Linked DNA regions of Notamacropus eugenii. The protein of the gene in region 1 purifies or fractionates together with the protein of each later gene. This does not show direct contact. Links are inferred from orthologs where the notes say so. Each region holds a gene or a part of one and is shown on either strand. Other genes may lie near its edges.

Evidence for each region.
Region 2: the proteins of SESN2 (region 1) and SQSTM1 purify together in Homo sapiens (affinity purification with western blotting; 3 studies listed by BioGRID and IntAct, with this or other methods). This does not show direct contact. The link is inferred for Notamacropus eugenii from reciprocal best matches to the Homo sapiens genes SESN2 and SQSTM1.

The regions. Positions count from the first base shown.
Region 1 is NC_092876.1:69,378,789-69,386,499, forward strand, and holds the start of SESN2 (sestrin-2), read left to right. Parts: upstream 1-4,698; 5' UTR 4,699-4,996; coding exon 4,997-5,080; intron 5,081-6,046; exon of another isoform or gene 6,047-6,080; coding exon of another isoform or gene 6,081-6,125; intron 6,126-7,711. UniProt on the Homo sapiens protein: Functions as an intracellular leucine sensor that negatively regulates the mTORC1 signaling pathway through the GATOR complex. In absence of leucine, binds the GATOR subcomplex GATOR2 and prevents mTORC1 signaling.
Region 2 is NC_092872.1:416,509,974-416,517,175, forward strand, and holds the start of SQSTM1 (sequestosome-1), read right to left. Parts: upstream 3,100-7,202; 5' UTR 2,888-3,099; coding exon 2,713-2,887; intron 1-2,712. UniProt on the Homo sapiens protein: Molecular adapter required for selective macroautophagy (aggrephagy) by acting as a bridge between polyubiquitinated proteins and autophagosomes.

The DNA.
Region 1 (7,711 bases):
CAGCTGTCCCCTCATCCCACTTCTATCAAGAGGGAGAAAGAGCTGCTCATTGTCTTGTCTGGTATAGGTAGGCTACTGAAGCCTATACCTATCAGAAAACATTAAAAGGCAGAACCCCAAGGACATAAAGATCATCCTTTCCCCACCCTTGTAAGAAGCCTTTGGTTTAGCCCCTGTAACCAAGTCAGAAATTGGTCTAGGCCTATCAGCTTCCTGGAGCTATTCCCAGAGGTTAGCTATTGGCTGCCAGACAAATCCCACCCATCTCCCTTTTAATTGGCCACCAGTCAACATATAAAAGGGAGCCTGTTGCTGAGCAAAAAGAGAAAAAAAGCTGGCAAAAGGAATGGTTTAAGGTAGTATTCTTGATCAGTTCGGGTCCACCTGACACTGCCAAGGCCGAGAAGAAGGTGTGATGGACCTGTTTTGAAGACTTCTGGAGATGCTTGCAAAGGTATTGACCCTCCCTTAGGGTTTCCCCACTTTGAAAAGTTCCCTATTACTGGATTTAATTAGAAAGATAGTTGTTCACATCTCTGAGTCTCTGTTTTTCTTATCTGTCAAATGAGGGGTATGGACTAGATGACCCCAAGGGGGGATCAGAGCAGCACTAGTACAGTCATCTAGCATGAACAGGGAAAGCCAAGGAAATTCAGCAAAGTGCAGAGAGGGGAAGCAGCAGTATCTGAGGATGTTCAGGGAATGCTGTTGCCTTGGGAGGATCCAGCCTGGGAGAAGGGGATCCTGCTGGTGAGTAGGACTCCTCATGGGAATAACAAGAGGAGGGGGTATTGTCTTGGGAAGGAGAAAGAATGCAGGGAAGATTTTTTTTTTAAAAATTAAGGGAATGTGTGGGCATATCTTGGGAATTAGAAAATGTTGATGGGGAGGAACCCAAAGGGATAAAGGTTACTGACCTTGGGAAGAGATGTCAGGTTGTCAGGGCATTGTGTTACAATGGGGCACAACCCTGAATTAGGAGTCTAGATATTGCTTACCAATAATGCTTTGTATGACTTGGGAAAAGTCTGCCCCCATCCCAGCCCCTTCTCTGTTCCTCAGTTACTCTAGGAAGTTGCCTAAGATGACCATCTTGGTTGGCCATATTTTGCCCAGAAGCAGAGCCATCCTCAGAGCTAATGGTTGGACTTCACAGCTGGTCACCACTGACAGGTTGATCCAAATTCTGTGAATCAGGCTGTTTGGGAAGAGAGGCACTGTGGCCAGAATGCCTGCTCTCTGACCGGAGGAGCTGGGTTCAAATTCTGGTTGTACCATTTCTAGCTCTGTGATGTTGTGCACATTGCAACCCCTTTGAGGGCTCCACTTTCATGCCCTATACCTTGAGGGTGCACAAAAGAAACTCAAAGATACCTTCTTTCTCTGGTACTACTTTGAGCTGTAGCAGCGTGTGCCCAGCAGAGGGCACTGTCAGCTAATGCAGATTCAAACAGGTCTTTTCCCTTCCAATTGCTAGGGTCCGTTTTAGACTCATTGGAGTGGCTTCAGCCACTTCAAGCCTTTGCCATCTTACCGGCCTCACTGTGTGGAAGGAAATGCATCCCCTTAGCATAGACAGATGTGCACAGTTCTTGTGCTGGGGCTTGTTTTTAGATTTCTGGGTCTAGTATATTTCTCAAACTGGAGTCCCCCTGACTTGGGAATCATACCTCGGACCACTGACTTGAGAATTCCTGGAGAATGAGTGATTGAGACTGCTCTTTTATTGCTCGGAAAAGGGAGGGAGTGAAGGCTGAAAAGTCCGATGAACTGATTGCTTCAAACAGGCTTGAAGAGGCACACCTAGATTTCTTTATATGAGCTTTTTCAAATCAAAATGCCCATTAAATTCAAAGATTATTTATTGAGTTCCCATGCAGAGGGAGACACAGTAGTGACACAGCATGTAGTGAAATCAGAAAAAGCATTGGATTTGAGAAGCAGTCTACATTCTTATCCCAGCTCTAGTATTTCCTGTGTGACCTTGGGCCAACCACTTTATCTCTGAACCTTAGTATACTGACCTATAAAAGGGGTATAATAGTTGCACCACCAACCTAAGGCTTTTGTGTGAGCAAAAGAAAAAAAATGAGATTTTTGATTACAAAGTACATTAGTTATATATTAAGTGCTATATGAATGTTATTTGTTGCTGTTATATATTGGAGATCAATGAGACACGATCCCTGCCATGGAGTCTCAGGGGGAAAGATGTTGATACTAAGTGCAAATATAAGGCAGTAGGCAATAAGTACCATGGTAACAGTAGATGGTGCTGTGGGAGTAGGGAGGGGAGAGACAGAGACAGGGAGGCAGAGATAGAGAGAAAGAGAGATTACCTGCCTGGGGGTGAGGTGTCCTTGAAGCTGACCCTTAAAGGATAGTGAGATTTCAACAGACAGCTCTAGGGAATGGAGGAAGGGAATGGGGGGGAAGAGGGAGGAGAGGTTGCTAGCTGTTGTTGCAGGGAAATGGGAAAGTGTGTTTGGAAATGTCCACTAGTATAGTTTGGCTGGAGCACAGAGCTCAAAGGGAAGCTGTATATGCCTTGAAACACCAATATCATATATAAAGTTGTAGCAGAAATATCAATACATCTGTACTCAGAGAACCTGGGTTCAAATCCTAACTGCTGCTCTCATTGGGTGACTTAGACAAGTCACTTAATCTCCCTCATTCTCAGTTCCCTTATCTGAAAATGAAATTAAATGACTACCAAGGTCTCTTGGAGCTCTCAATTCGTTGTATAAGATTGGAAAAGGAGTTTGGAGCCATTTGTGGAGGGTATTAAATGGCAGGATTTGGAGATTAGATTTATCACTTTTAAACCATGGGGAACCATTGAAGACCTCCCAACATTTGAGTAGCAGGGTAAAACCTTGGCTTTAAGAAGATTCTTCTGGGGGGCAGCTAGGTGGCGCAGTGAATAGTGCACATCCTCAGGAATCAAGGTAACAGGAATTCAAATTTGGCCTCAGATGCTTACTAGCAGTGTGACACTGGGCAAGTCACTTAACCCCTACTGTCTCCCCCCTGCCCCCCCCCAAAAAAGAAAGAAAAGATTCTTCTGGCAGGTGTGGATCATGCGTTGAGAGAGTCAGGAGAAGAGTTAGGAGGAGTCTAGTATTATAATCCAACTGAGAGGTGATCACCATTACCTACATTAGGGGTGGGATTCTGGAAATAGGAAGGAAGAATGAACAAGGTTTGGTGACTGATAGGGTGTATGGAGAGAGAACAGTCAGAGCTCAGTCAGGTTAATGAATTTTGGGGGGCCATTAACAGAAATGAGTAAATCAAGGGAAAGTAACTGCCTTTAGGAAAATGAGTTCAGCTTTCAACTTTTTTAATTTCCAGGGATACATTTTCATGGATATGTCCAGCAAGTAGATGAAAAATTTGAACTGGAAGTGAAAGCAGATATCAGAGATTAAAAGACAAATTTGAGAGAAGTCCATAGCATGGAGGTGCTAGGAGCAGCTTGAGAAGTAAGGACCCCCAAACTGAAATGGGAGGTGTCAGTAACCTAGTTGCTTTCCCTACTCCCCCAATGTCATCCAAGTCCCTAAAGAGAGCATTCCTGCCTAGATGCCTTCTGCCTCCATCTGTGCTAAATTTAAAGGGCTAGCTGCCATTTCATATCTCAGCTGCTGGGCTGGGGTGGTGGGTTCCTGTGAGAGTTGGGGAAAATGTAACTCAGGAATAGTATTGCATCGTTGCCCTCCCCCATCTCTATCCTTCCTTTCCTAGAGAGAGAAGGTCATGGCCAGAAGTTTAGGAGAAATGCCCCCTTTTCTGGGTGAGGAGGAAATCAAAGAGGGGAATCTATATAAGGAGAGGAAAAAGGGTCATCAACTGGTAGATGGGAAAACCAAGATAGTTCCATGTCTTGAACAAGGGAGAAGAGTTTCAAACTTGGTGCCCTGGCACTTAGAGGAATGCAGCAAATATTTATTGATTGAGTGAGTGATTAAAGGAGCAACGGGTGATTAAATACCGTTAAATATAGTGTCAGATAGTGCAGACTGGTAAAGGAGAATAAAGGAGTGGGGAAAGACTGAAACTCCAGCAAGAGAGGCTGAAATTAGGCACCCGAATGAATTTCTTAAGGAAGTTATGAAATCCTTTCTGCAGAACTTCAGATACAGGCTGGATTCTCTTTTGTCTGGTATGTTTGAAGGTGCGGGGCTGCTTGAGGGCAAAGTGAATATTCTGAAAGACCTTTTAAAACTCCCTCGGGTTCAGACCTATAATTAGCTCCAGCAATGCTCATTATAAACAGTCACCTCGAAAAGCCATCCAGGGACCCTAAATAACCTCACCAGAAATTTAAAATCTGTAGCATGAAATGGTTTGAAATTATAAACCCAGATGCCCTGCCCAGTCCCTAAAAAGTTGCAATTCATCATGCAATCATAATGACTATCTGGGACTGTCACTCTCGGTCTCTCGTTTCTCATTTACTTGTTTATGAGTAACCCTCTTGCAAAAGTTTGCAACATCCTCCAGGGTAAAACTACAACTCCCAGCTCCCCCAGCGCTTCCCCGAGCCCATTGGAAGATAGTCGAGAGAAGCTGTTGGAGGAGGAAAGGCGTCTCCGCCTCCTGCCGGACCAATGAGTAGGTGATTGGCCGAAGCCTGAGGCTTGTGTCCCCTCCCTCTCACTCCCCACCCCTCCGACCTGCGTCTGGGTAGGTCTCAGTTGCCGAGGTCGGATCCAGAGAAGCTAAAGGCAGTCGGGCTCGGGGATGTCTGTGAGCTGTGGTAGCCGAGACGTTCTTCACTCTAGAATTCTAAGACCCCCCGGGGCCACGGTAGAAGCTGGGGCGCCCCTCGGGTAGCCACGGACCGTTCCGGTGCAGGACCGTGGGTCTGCGGACAGGTGCAGAGCCCCACCTCGCCGGGAGCGCCTGCCACCCCGGGACCCGCTCGCGCGCTGTACCCCCGCGGCCGTGCCCGCGGGCCCCGCAAGGAAGGTGCGCGCTGGCTGGCACCATGATCGTGGCGGACGCGGAGAACTGCGCCGGAATCCAGGGCTACATCCCCTACACCCAGTGCGGCGGCGCAGGGACCGCGGAGGTGAGTGGCGCGGACCCCTCCCCAGCCGCGAGTCCAGCCCTTCTGGCCACGGGACAGGCTCGACGGCCGGCTCAGCCCTGGGATGGGGATCGGGGGCTGGGAATTGGGGGCAGACTGTAACCTGGCGCCGGGATTGCATCAACTGGCCGCCGCTGCCCCCCTCCTCTTCCTCCGACTTCGTTCCCGGGGGAAGAGCTCTGGACAGCTACTTAGGACGGAGTGGGGGTTGGGGGAGGAGGGGCTTCCCGAGTGGGCCCGGCTTGCCCAGTAGGCGCCGTCTTCCAGCCTGGGCATGCCTGGGCCCGTCGGAGTAGACCTTGTCCGCTTCCTTCCCGATTTTCCACTGGGGAACCCCAGGGGGTCTTGGAACCGTGCCTTCAGGGAGGTGGCGGCAGAATCCTTCGCTCTCTGGGCGGCGGCGGAGGAAACTTTCGGGGCGCTTGGCAATGCTCCCAGGTCCTGTCGCTCTGCACGACCCCGGGAGGGAAGACCTCGGACCCGGTGGGGTCGGGGGGGGGGGGATGAGCGGAAAGGAGTGAATGGGAACCCCGACCACCCGGAGAGCGAGATGCTGCCTGGACAGGGGTGGACACGCGGTTTCAGGGTCTTGATGGAGACCTAGGTCCCTACGGGCAAGAGGGGGCTGAGGAAGAGAACCTTGCAGCCCCAAACTAGTGGTCGTTCGATAAGCCCAGCCACCTGTTAGCTGGGGGATTCAGGGACCTTCTGTGACTTGGAACTAAACGCTCCTCCGACCTACCTTACTCGTCTCGTTGTCATGTGGAAAGAGCTTTGTGAGCGGGAAAACGTTGTTGAAGTGTGAGCTTCACGGGCATCCCCTCCTCCGGGAAGCCGTCCCTGACTAACCTCACCTGATTCAGATCACACCATCTCCTGACCGAATCTCCTTCCAGGACTTGGAATGTTGTTTGCATTTCGGAAAATTTGCCCAGAAACTTGGCCCGAAGTTTCAGTTCTGACTGTCTGACGGCCTGTGGGGATGGGGGAAAGATGCCCCAGATCCGTTAAGCTGGGCATTCCTCAGGTAGGGCCCGACTTCTTTATATCCAGACCAGAACTGCCTGCAGGGTCCTGGAAGGGGCCTCCGGGTTAAGCTCCTGGGTTTTACCGAGGGAAAAACTGAAGCTGTAGGAGATTAAGGGACTTCATAAGGTCGCATAGTAATAGTGGAGACTAGCTTTGAACCCCGGACCTCAGAGACCTTCCTGTTTTCCCCTGTACCATCTTAACTTCCCTAATAAGGGAGGACCCAGAATGACCTCACCGACCTCCTAGGGCTAATGTAATAGAGACTGCCCTTCCGGAGGTGAAAAAAAGAAAGCTTCAGCCTTCTCTCCCTTCCAGATAGCACTCCCCCCCCCCCCCCCCCACACACACACACACTTCCAGGTGTGTCTGGTGGTGGAAGGAGAGGGCTCTGCCGGGGAAGGAGGAAGGCCGAGCTCTCGGAGGCCATGCCCCCTCACCTGATGGAATTACTCCCCAGTGGAAAACTTTGGAATCTCGGGGTCAGCGGCGGAAGATGTCTGTGGTGACCGAGAAGTTAATGAATATTCCTACTGTCTTGAGAAAGCTGAAAGGACCGGGAAGTCCGCTCTCCTTTGGAGATCAGACTTTTTCAAGAGAGCAGCAGCTCTGGAGTCCTTCCAAAGCAACGCTCCTAGAGACCCCGAGCCCCAAATCCCCCAGCCAGTCATTTCGGGGCTTCAACCACAGAATGGATCGCTGATGCCACACCTATTATGTGCAGGGCTAAAGGACAGGGACAGACACATGATTTAGATCGCAGGTGTCAAACGTTCATGTGCAACGCTCCCCAGTGCATCTCAAACCAGATTAAAATGTAATTGGGAAATATTTAAAAAACGAATCAAAACATAAGTAATATTACGTTTAAAGCTGAGTCAGTATGTGGCCTGCAGGCGTCTTTATGTACCAATTAGTGGGCTGGGTTTCTATTTGAGGTCTACACCACTGATTTAAATAATCAAATCACCACCCTCTAGGAACTCAACGAAGCCTGTACAGGGAGACGTAATGGAGACATACTTAACTAACTCTTACAAAAGAGTGTGAACAAAGGATTAATTTGGGCTTGGAGGAGGAAAGAGCATTTTTGATTAGAGGAATCAAAGAAGACCCTAGGGAGGCAGTAGGTAGCATCGAAGGTGGAGATAGAGGTGAGGTCAGGGTATTCCAGATACTGGGACTGGGGGCCCAAAACCATATAATCGGTAGGCTAATTTGGTTGGAATACATGATTAAGAAACAGAACTAAGAGTAGAAAGGTAGGTTGGCACTGAACAATAGCAAGGCTGGAATGTCGGGTCAAGCCTTTGGAACATTACTTCATAGACCATAGGAAACCATTAAGGGTTTTAACCCAGGTAAGCCAGAGGCCTCTGACCCTTTGGGTACCGGCTAACAGAGTGTGCAGACTCCTTCACTACTAAGTGCTGACTAAGTAGTATTTATAACCATTAGAGAGAAATGAACCTCCATGCTGGCTAGAGGGGCAGAGAGGAAGAAGTCTCTGACTTATACTTTGCAAATCACTTGACCTCTCAGTTCCCCAGGTAACTCTAAAAGTAGAAGCTAGTCAGTCCACAA
Region 2 (7,202 bases), on another chromosome or scaffold:
GGAGAATACTACTAACTAGCATTTATGTAGGGCTTTGCATATATTTTCCCCCATTTTATTGTCACACACAACCCTTGGAGGTAGAAGATGATCATTCCCATTTTAGAGATGAAGAAACCGAGGCAGGCAGGTTAAACAACTTGCCTAGACTTGTCACACAGCTGGCGTCAACCCACTTCCCCCAACAACAAACTCCAGTGGCTGCCAATTGCCTCCAGGATGAAATCTGAATCCAATCAGATCTTCCTGACTCCAAGCCTGGCACTGTATGTGCTAGCTGCCTAAGGGAATCAAAGACTACAAAGTTAGTATACCTGGATCTCTGAAGTCATTTTTTCCAGGAAAACTCCCCCCCCCCCCAAAAAAATTCGAAAGTGAGACCTCTGCCTCACTTTATAATCTCATTTCTCTTTATCAGTGTCTCCACTTCCTCTCCTCAACCCCTCGCAATCTGACTTCCAACTTCATCATTCCACCAAAACCTTCTCTCTCCAAAGTTACTAATAGTCTCTTGGTTGTCTTTTTCTCCACCCTCGTTCCCCTTGACCTCTAACATAGTTGTGTCAATCTCCCCCCCTTGACACCCTCTTCTAGGTTTTCAGGACACCACACTCTCCTGGTTCTCCTCCCACCTCTCAGATTGTTCCTTCTGTGTCCCTTCCTGGATCCTCCTAATGATGCCACCCTTTAATCATGGGTGTCCCTCTAGTTCCTATACCTGGGCCCTCTTCTCTCTCACTTGCCATGGATCTAATTATCATCTTTATGCCAATGATTCTTAAATCTCCCTCTCCTAACCTCCATTTTCTCATCTCCAACTAACTTTTCAGACACCCAGAACTGGATGTCTAGTAGACATTTTTAACTTAGTTAAACTAAGTCCAAAGCTGAAATCAATCTTTCCCCCTAAATCCTGCCCCTCCAACCTTTCCCTTTACCCTCAGGAGCCACATCATCTTACCAGTCTCTCAGGTTCTTGACCTAGGAACGGTGAACTCCTCACCCATCTCTCATATTCGAGCCCTGCCAAGGCCTATTGATTTCACCTTTGCAAAATCCTTCCAGACACTGCCAACCCCCTGGGTCCAGGCCCTCATCACCTCAGGCTTTGATTACAACATCCTGCTGTGGGGATGGGGTGTCTGCAGGCTTCTCATCTCTCCTTCTTCCAATCTATCCTCCAAGCCACTAAAAGTGATTTTCCTATGTTCAAGTCCGATGGGGTCAACCCACCTTCCCCTACTCAATAAACTCCAGGGCCTCCCTATTGTCTCTAGGATCAAATACAAAAAGCTCTGCTTGGCCTTGGAAAGCCCTTCACAACCTTTTCAATCTTCTTACACCTTACTCGCCCCTACAGGTACTCTTTCTTATCCAGCGACACCAGCCTCCTGGCTGTTTCACGAACTCCAACCCTCAGCTCTGGGCATTTTCTCTGGGTGTCCTGAGCCTAGAAAGTTTTCCCTTTGGTGTTGACTGACCTCCCTGGTTTCCTACAGGAAGCCTTCCCCAAACCCTTTAAATTCTAGTGCCTTCCCTCTTTATTCTGAATGTAGCTCTCTTTCTACGTATTTATTAGCATGTGGTCTCCTCCATTAGACTGTCTGCTGCCTCTTTTGGTGTGCACGGATCTTGTGTTGCCTAAGGATACATCGATTTAAACCAATCCAATCTCCAAGGGTGGTCTCTAAGTGGGATTTCCCCCCCACTCTTTGACTATACAAACATTTCTGGAAAAAAAGTTTAGCTCGTTTGTGGGATTCATCACACGTTATTTTACTAATTAGTTTGGAGACGGTGAGACAGAAAATGGTCACAGATTCTGGAAACTTCTGCCCTGGGGGGAGTAGAAAAGCCAAGGACTACTCTGGGGGCGGGAGGGCCGCCACCGTGGGCTCCGTCCAGGTCCAGCTCGGGCAGTCACAACAGGACCAGGAGGCTGGCGGGCGGCCAGGCCCAAAGCAAGGCTGGAGCCGTAGCAGCGCCAGTAGTAACGCTTCCATGGAACACTCACGCACAACAGCGCTGGCAGCTTGGCCTTACTTCTAATGCCCATTTTACCGACGGGGACGCTAAGGCAGGAGGCGATGAAGCGACCCGCCCGGCGCCGCACGGCTGGGACAAGTTTGATGCCACTCCTGCCAGGGCACACGCGGGCACCGAGACACACACCTCCAAGCCAGGCACACCCTAACCGCCCCCAAGCTCCTTCCGGATCCTCCTCCTCAAAACTCTGAACCTTGGCTTACTTATTCGCATGTTTGTATAAACAGACTTGCTCGTGCAACAGGCTGCTAGATACGCGTACAGCCGCCGATATACGTACACACGTATTACGCATCCACGAGTGTGTGTACACACCCCCACACCCCCAAAACCAAGTGAACTCCTCGGGGGTAGGAGCGCCACCATTTTTCTGTCTCCAGCGCCTCGCACACAGCAGCGTTTAATAAACGCGGGTGGCTGCAGGCGGGCCAATCCTAGCCTAGCTCCCGGGGGACACGGAGACCTCGGCGGGGGTCGGTTCGGCTCCCGCCCAGCCTCGGCGGTTTGGCCCGCGTCACGGCACACGGGGTCCGGTTACGTAAGCCCGGCTCGGCCCGACGCCAGATAAACAAGCGGCAGGGTCAGGGCGGGCCAGAGCCGGCTGCGGGCTCGGAGCCCCGCTCCCGGCCAGGCCCCCGCCTGCCCGGCCCGGCCCCGCGGCCTCACCTCGGTAGTACACCTGGAAGCCGCCGGGCCGCAGCGCCGGGAACACCTCGGCCACGCGGCGGAGCAGCTTCTCGCAGCGGCCCGGGCCGTCGAGCGGCTCCACGGTGAAGCGGCGGATCTCCCGGGCCGCCTCCTCCTTGCCCATCAGGTAGGCCTTCACGGTCAGCCGCTCCATCTCGGCGTCGGCGGCACTGTGCAGGCGGAGAGGCCGGTCTCGGCAGCTGAAAACACGGACGAAGGCGACCTGCGACCCGCAGACGTTGGGACGGCGTCTCCGGCGAGCCCGCCCCGCTCAGGTCTTATACACGACGCCCGAGTCTCCGCCCGGCTGGGGCGGGGCCGGGAGCTACGCGCCCCCCCCCCGGACCCCGCCCGCCCCCCTCCCCTCACGTGTCCCTCGGTGCTAGCTCACGCCCCGAAGCGGATCCCTCGTGCGCTGCCGAAATAAACAAGTGGGGGGAGGGGTCTGCCGTTCGGTCCGTAGTGGCGGAGCTGGGGGCTCTGCGACCCTGGGAGGCATCAGAGTGGGGGCGGGGAGCAGTTCCCACGTGCCAGGGGATGCAGCTGTCTAGAAAAGTATCCCAGAGGCTTCCCACGTGCGTGTGGGAGGGGGTGTCCCTGTAGCCGGAGGAGGCTGAAGGGACCGTCATTTTGCCCCTGGAAAGGAGCGGGAGGCTTTTTGGGGGGTGAGGGTTTTATGCGCCGTTGGGGGGAGTGGAAGGTGGAGGGGGCAGGGAGGGGCGCCGTGTTCTAGGGGAGGTCTCAGCGTCGGGGCGGGGGTGTCTGCTGTAGGAGGGAGGTCCGCGGACCTGCGGAAGGGCCCCTTCAACTTTCAGAAGTATGGGAGCCCTGGCTCTTCCTTAGGGCCCTGAGCTGTGGGGAGGGGGAGGTCTCCGTGCCCCCGGTGCCCCAGCACGCTGGCGAGGGCCGCATAGGGCAGGAAGAGTTGGGCACCAGGCCGCTTCCCTCCGGATTCACAGCCCCACGGGTGAGGGACTTCCCCGGACTGCACACTGACCTGACTGAGCATGACTCAGCAGCTCGCCTGGCCACTTCGGGGCCTCCGGGCTCCGGGAGCTTTCTCTTACCCCGTGCCCCAAAGTGGGCCTGCTGCCCGCAGAGGGGGTCCGCAGCGCTCCTTGCCAGTGTTCACGGACCGTTAGCCAAGGAGAACTTAGCTCGGTGACCTTCTCTGATGGCCAGGGCTCCGAGGCTAACTTGTCTAACTTGCCTAACTTGGCCCATGGGGCTGGGGAGGCTTGGTTTGCCCCTCATTGTTAAATCTGGAATTTTCCATCTTCCTCCAGCTCCAAGAGCCACTTGACTGACCGCGTAGAGATTAAAATATAAAGTACGCGTTATAAATGTTGATACAATATAATATAGATTAAACTATGCCTAACACATAGTAGATGCTTAAAAAATGCTTATTGCTTGAACTACTTGTCCCCTCAAAATCCCCTAGGGTCTGTGCCCTATGCCGTGCCCTTGTCCCCTGAGGCCTGTGGTGCTGAGCTCTTTCCATCTTTCTCCAGTAGAAGGCCCAGGAGATAATTCAACTCTTCCATTCTAACTTACTGTTGTTTCTGACTCTTTGTGACCCTTTGGGGGTATTTTTGACAAAGATACTGGAGTGGTTTGTTATTTCCCTCTCCAGCTCATTTTACAGATGAGGAAACTGAGGTAAAGAGGGTGAAGTGACTTGCCCAGGGTCACACAGATAGTGTCTGAAGTTAGATTTGAACTCAGGTCTTTCTCATTCCAGGCTAGTTCTCTATCTACTGTGCCACCTGGCTGCCCTCCACAATTCTTGGTCTCCTTCAAAACTTAAATCAAGAGATACAGCATAAAAGAGATACAGGAAACCTCTCCCAACTCCTCCAGTTTCTTGTGCCTTCCTCTCAAAACTTAAATTCTATCTATTTTGCTTATATTTTTGTATGTACATACTACTCAACCAACCCCACCCCCGAAGAGTAAGTTTCTTGAGGGCACAGACTATTTCCCTTTTGTCTTTGATTCCCTAAGGTATAGCACAGCCACAGGCCAATGATAAGCCTTTCATAAATGCCTTTCGATTGGTTGATTGGGAATGATGATAATAAGTGTCTGGCTTTAGGGAACAACACATGTTATCAGGGGAATCTGGGGAGTTTCACTGGGCCAAGAGGAAAGGGGTTTGACTAGCACTGTCTGTGAGATCAGGCTTGTTTCACTCCAGTCCAAAGGAGAATTGAGTCACAGGTTCATTTCTATGATTCTTTGTCCCTGGGAGTTCTCTTGGGTAGGATTTTCTCAGGTAGAGGGTGAAATGGATAGAGCTTAGGGCCTGTAGTCAGGAATTCCTGAGTCAGCTCTGACCTCTGACACTGTGTCACCTTACTGCACAAGTCACTTACCCTCTGTTTCAAATAATGACCGCCCCTACTTTCCAGGATTACTGTGAGGATCAAATGAGTTTACATTTGTAAAGCATTTAACACCGTGCCTGACACATAGTAGGCCATATATAAATTCTTATTCCCTTCCCTATTTGTTGACTATCTACAGCAGGTTCTCCTTCCTTTTTTCTAGGCCTCCCCTCAGGAAGCTTATCTAATGGGGAATTTTAGGCAAGTTAATACTGTGTCACTCTCCTACTCTCTTAACTTCCTATTACCTGTAACTTAAAGTATAAACTCCTCAGTTTAGATCTTAAAACCCTTCACAACCTGGCCCTATCTTTCCTCATTCACTGAACATTAACTCCCTTTCTCACGATCCAATCAAACTGGCCTTCAAGCCATTTCGCATCTCCTCAGTTTTGCCCAGGCTGTATCCCACATCTTGAGTGCACTCCCTCCTCCTTTCTACCTCTTGGAGCTTCTAGTTTCCTTAGAAGCTCAGCTTAAATGCCAGCCAGCACTTCTTGGAAGAAGCAAGTGCCTCCCCCTGAAATGACTTCACATATACTTTGTGTGTGCTTGACTCTGTGCTTGCCTTCCTTCTTGGCCGTAGGGATGTCACTTTTTGTCTTAGCCTCAGCACGTAGCCCAGGGCCTGGCACCTAATGGAGGCTTAATAAATGCTTGTTGATTGATTAATTGCTACAGGGATTGCCACACATCATCTTCCTTGATCCTCCTAATAACTCCATCAGGTAGGCACTTCAGGTACCATTTTCTCTACTGATGAGAAAAGTGAGACTCAGAAGAAAGGGAACAGGAAGGATATGGTGGGGAGTCTATAAAAGGTAACAAGGAGTCCAGGATCCCTAAGGTCAGCTAGCTACTTAGAAATGAGGCAGCAGGGCCAGAGAACCCAGGGTTAGTAGAAAGGAATTCTGGTTGGGGGTGGGACACAGAACTTTCTAGAGAACACCAGAAACTTGGGGGGGTATCCCTACTCTCACTCATTTAATTACTTTGGCCACACCCCTTCCTCTTGAGTATTGCCCAACCAGGCTTGGCTCAACCCCATCCAGTACTTTCTAAGGGAGGTAGGAAGGTTTCTGCTCCTTGGCCCTTGGGAGTGTGGGTAACGATGACTCAGTGAGTTCCCAGCCTTGTCAGAGTTCTCCAGCCAGGGCCAGAAGCCAGATGCATCACTTGCCAACCCCCTGCTCAGCTTTAAGGCTTATAAGTTGGAATTTAGAGCTGGAAGGGATCTTAGAGGTCAGTGGAGTCTAGCCCTCTGGGTGAAAGGTTGTAACCTCCATCCTGACTTACTAACAGATACCAAGCTAGGGTCATGGAGTCAGAACTGGAACAAACCTCAGAGGTCATCTAAGCCAACCTCTTTTACAAACAAGGAAACCAAAACCCATGTATGTTTAGTGACTTGCCTACTAAGTGACATTACTATTACTACTTCTGCTGCTGCTGCTACTATCACCCAGGGTCACACAAGCCATAAGAGAAATGAATGAAACATATCCTTCAGATTTGACTCTGTCTCTTCCCAATGAACCACAGTGGTTTCTTTCACTATAGGGGCGAGAGCTGCTCTTTACCATTGGGTTCTGGCTTAGATTTGGTGGGAGGTGAGAGAGGGTGGTTAGGGGTGAGGAAAACACTCATATATGTATATTTTTGTGCATGTGTGTATGTACATATATATGTACGTACATTTAGATATATACCCATATGTACATATAGTGATAATAGCATTTGTAGAGCACATGAAGGTTTGCAAAGTGCATTGCAAATGTTATCTAATTTGATCTTCATGACAGCCCTGTGAGGTGGGTGCTGCTATTATCCCTGTTCTGCTGAAAAAGAAACTGAGGCAAGTCAGAGATTAAGTGCTTTACCCAGGGTCACATAGCCAGCAAATGTCTAAGACCTGATTTGCAGTCAGGCACTCTGTCCACTATGCTAACCTCTCTCAGCCTCAGTTTCCTCATTTGTAAAATGGGAATGATGTGGTACCTGCCTCAGAGCAGAGTTGTTGTAGAGATCGTCAGGTGAGATAACACACACAAAGCTCTCTGCAAACCCTAACGTGCTGGA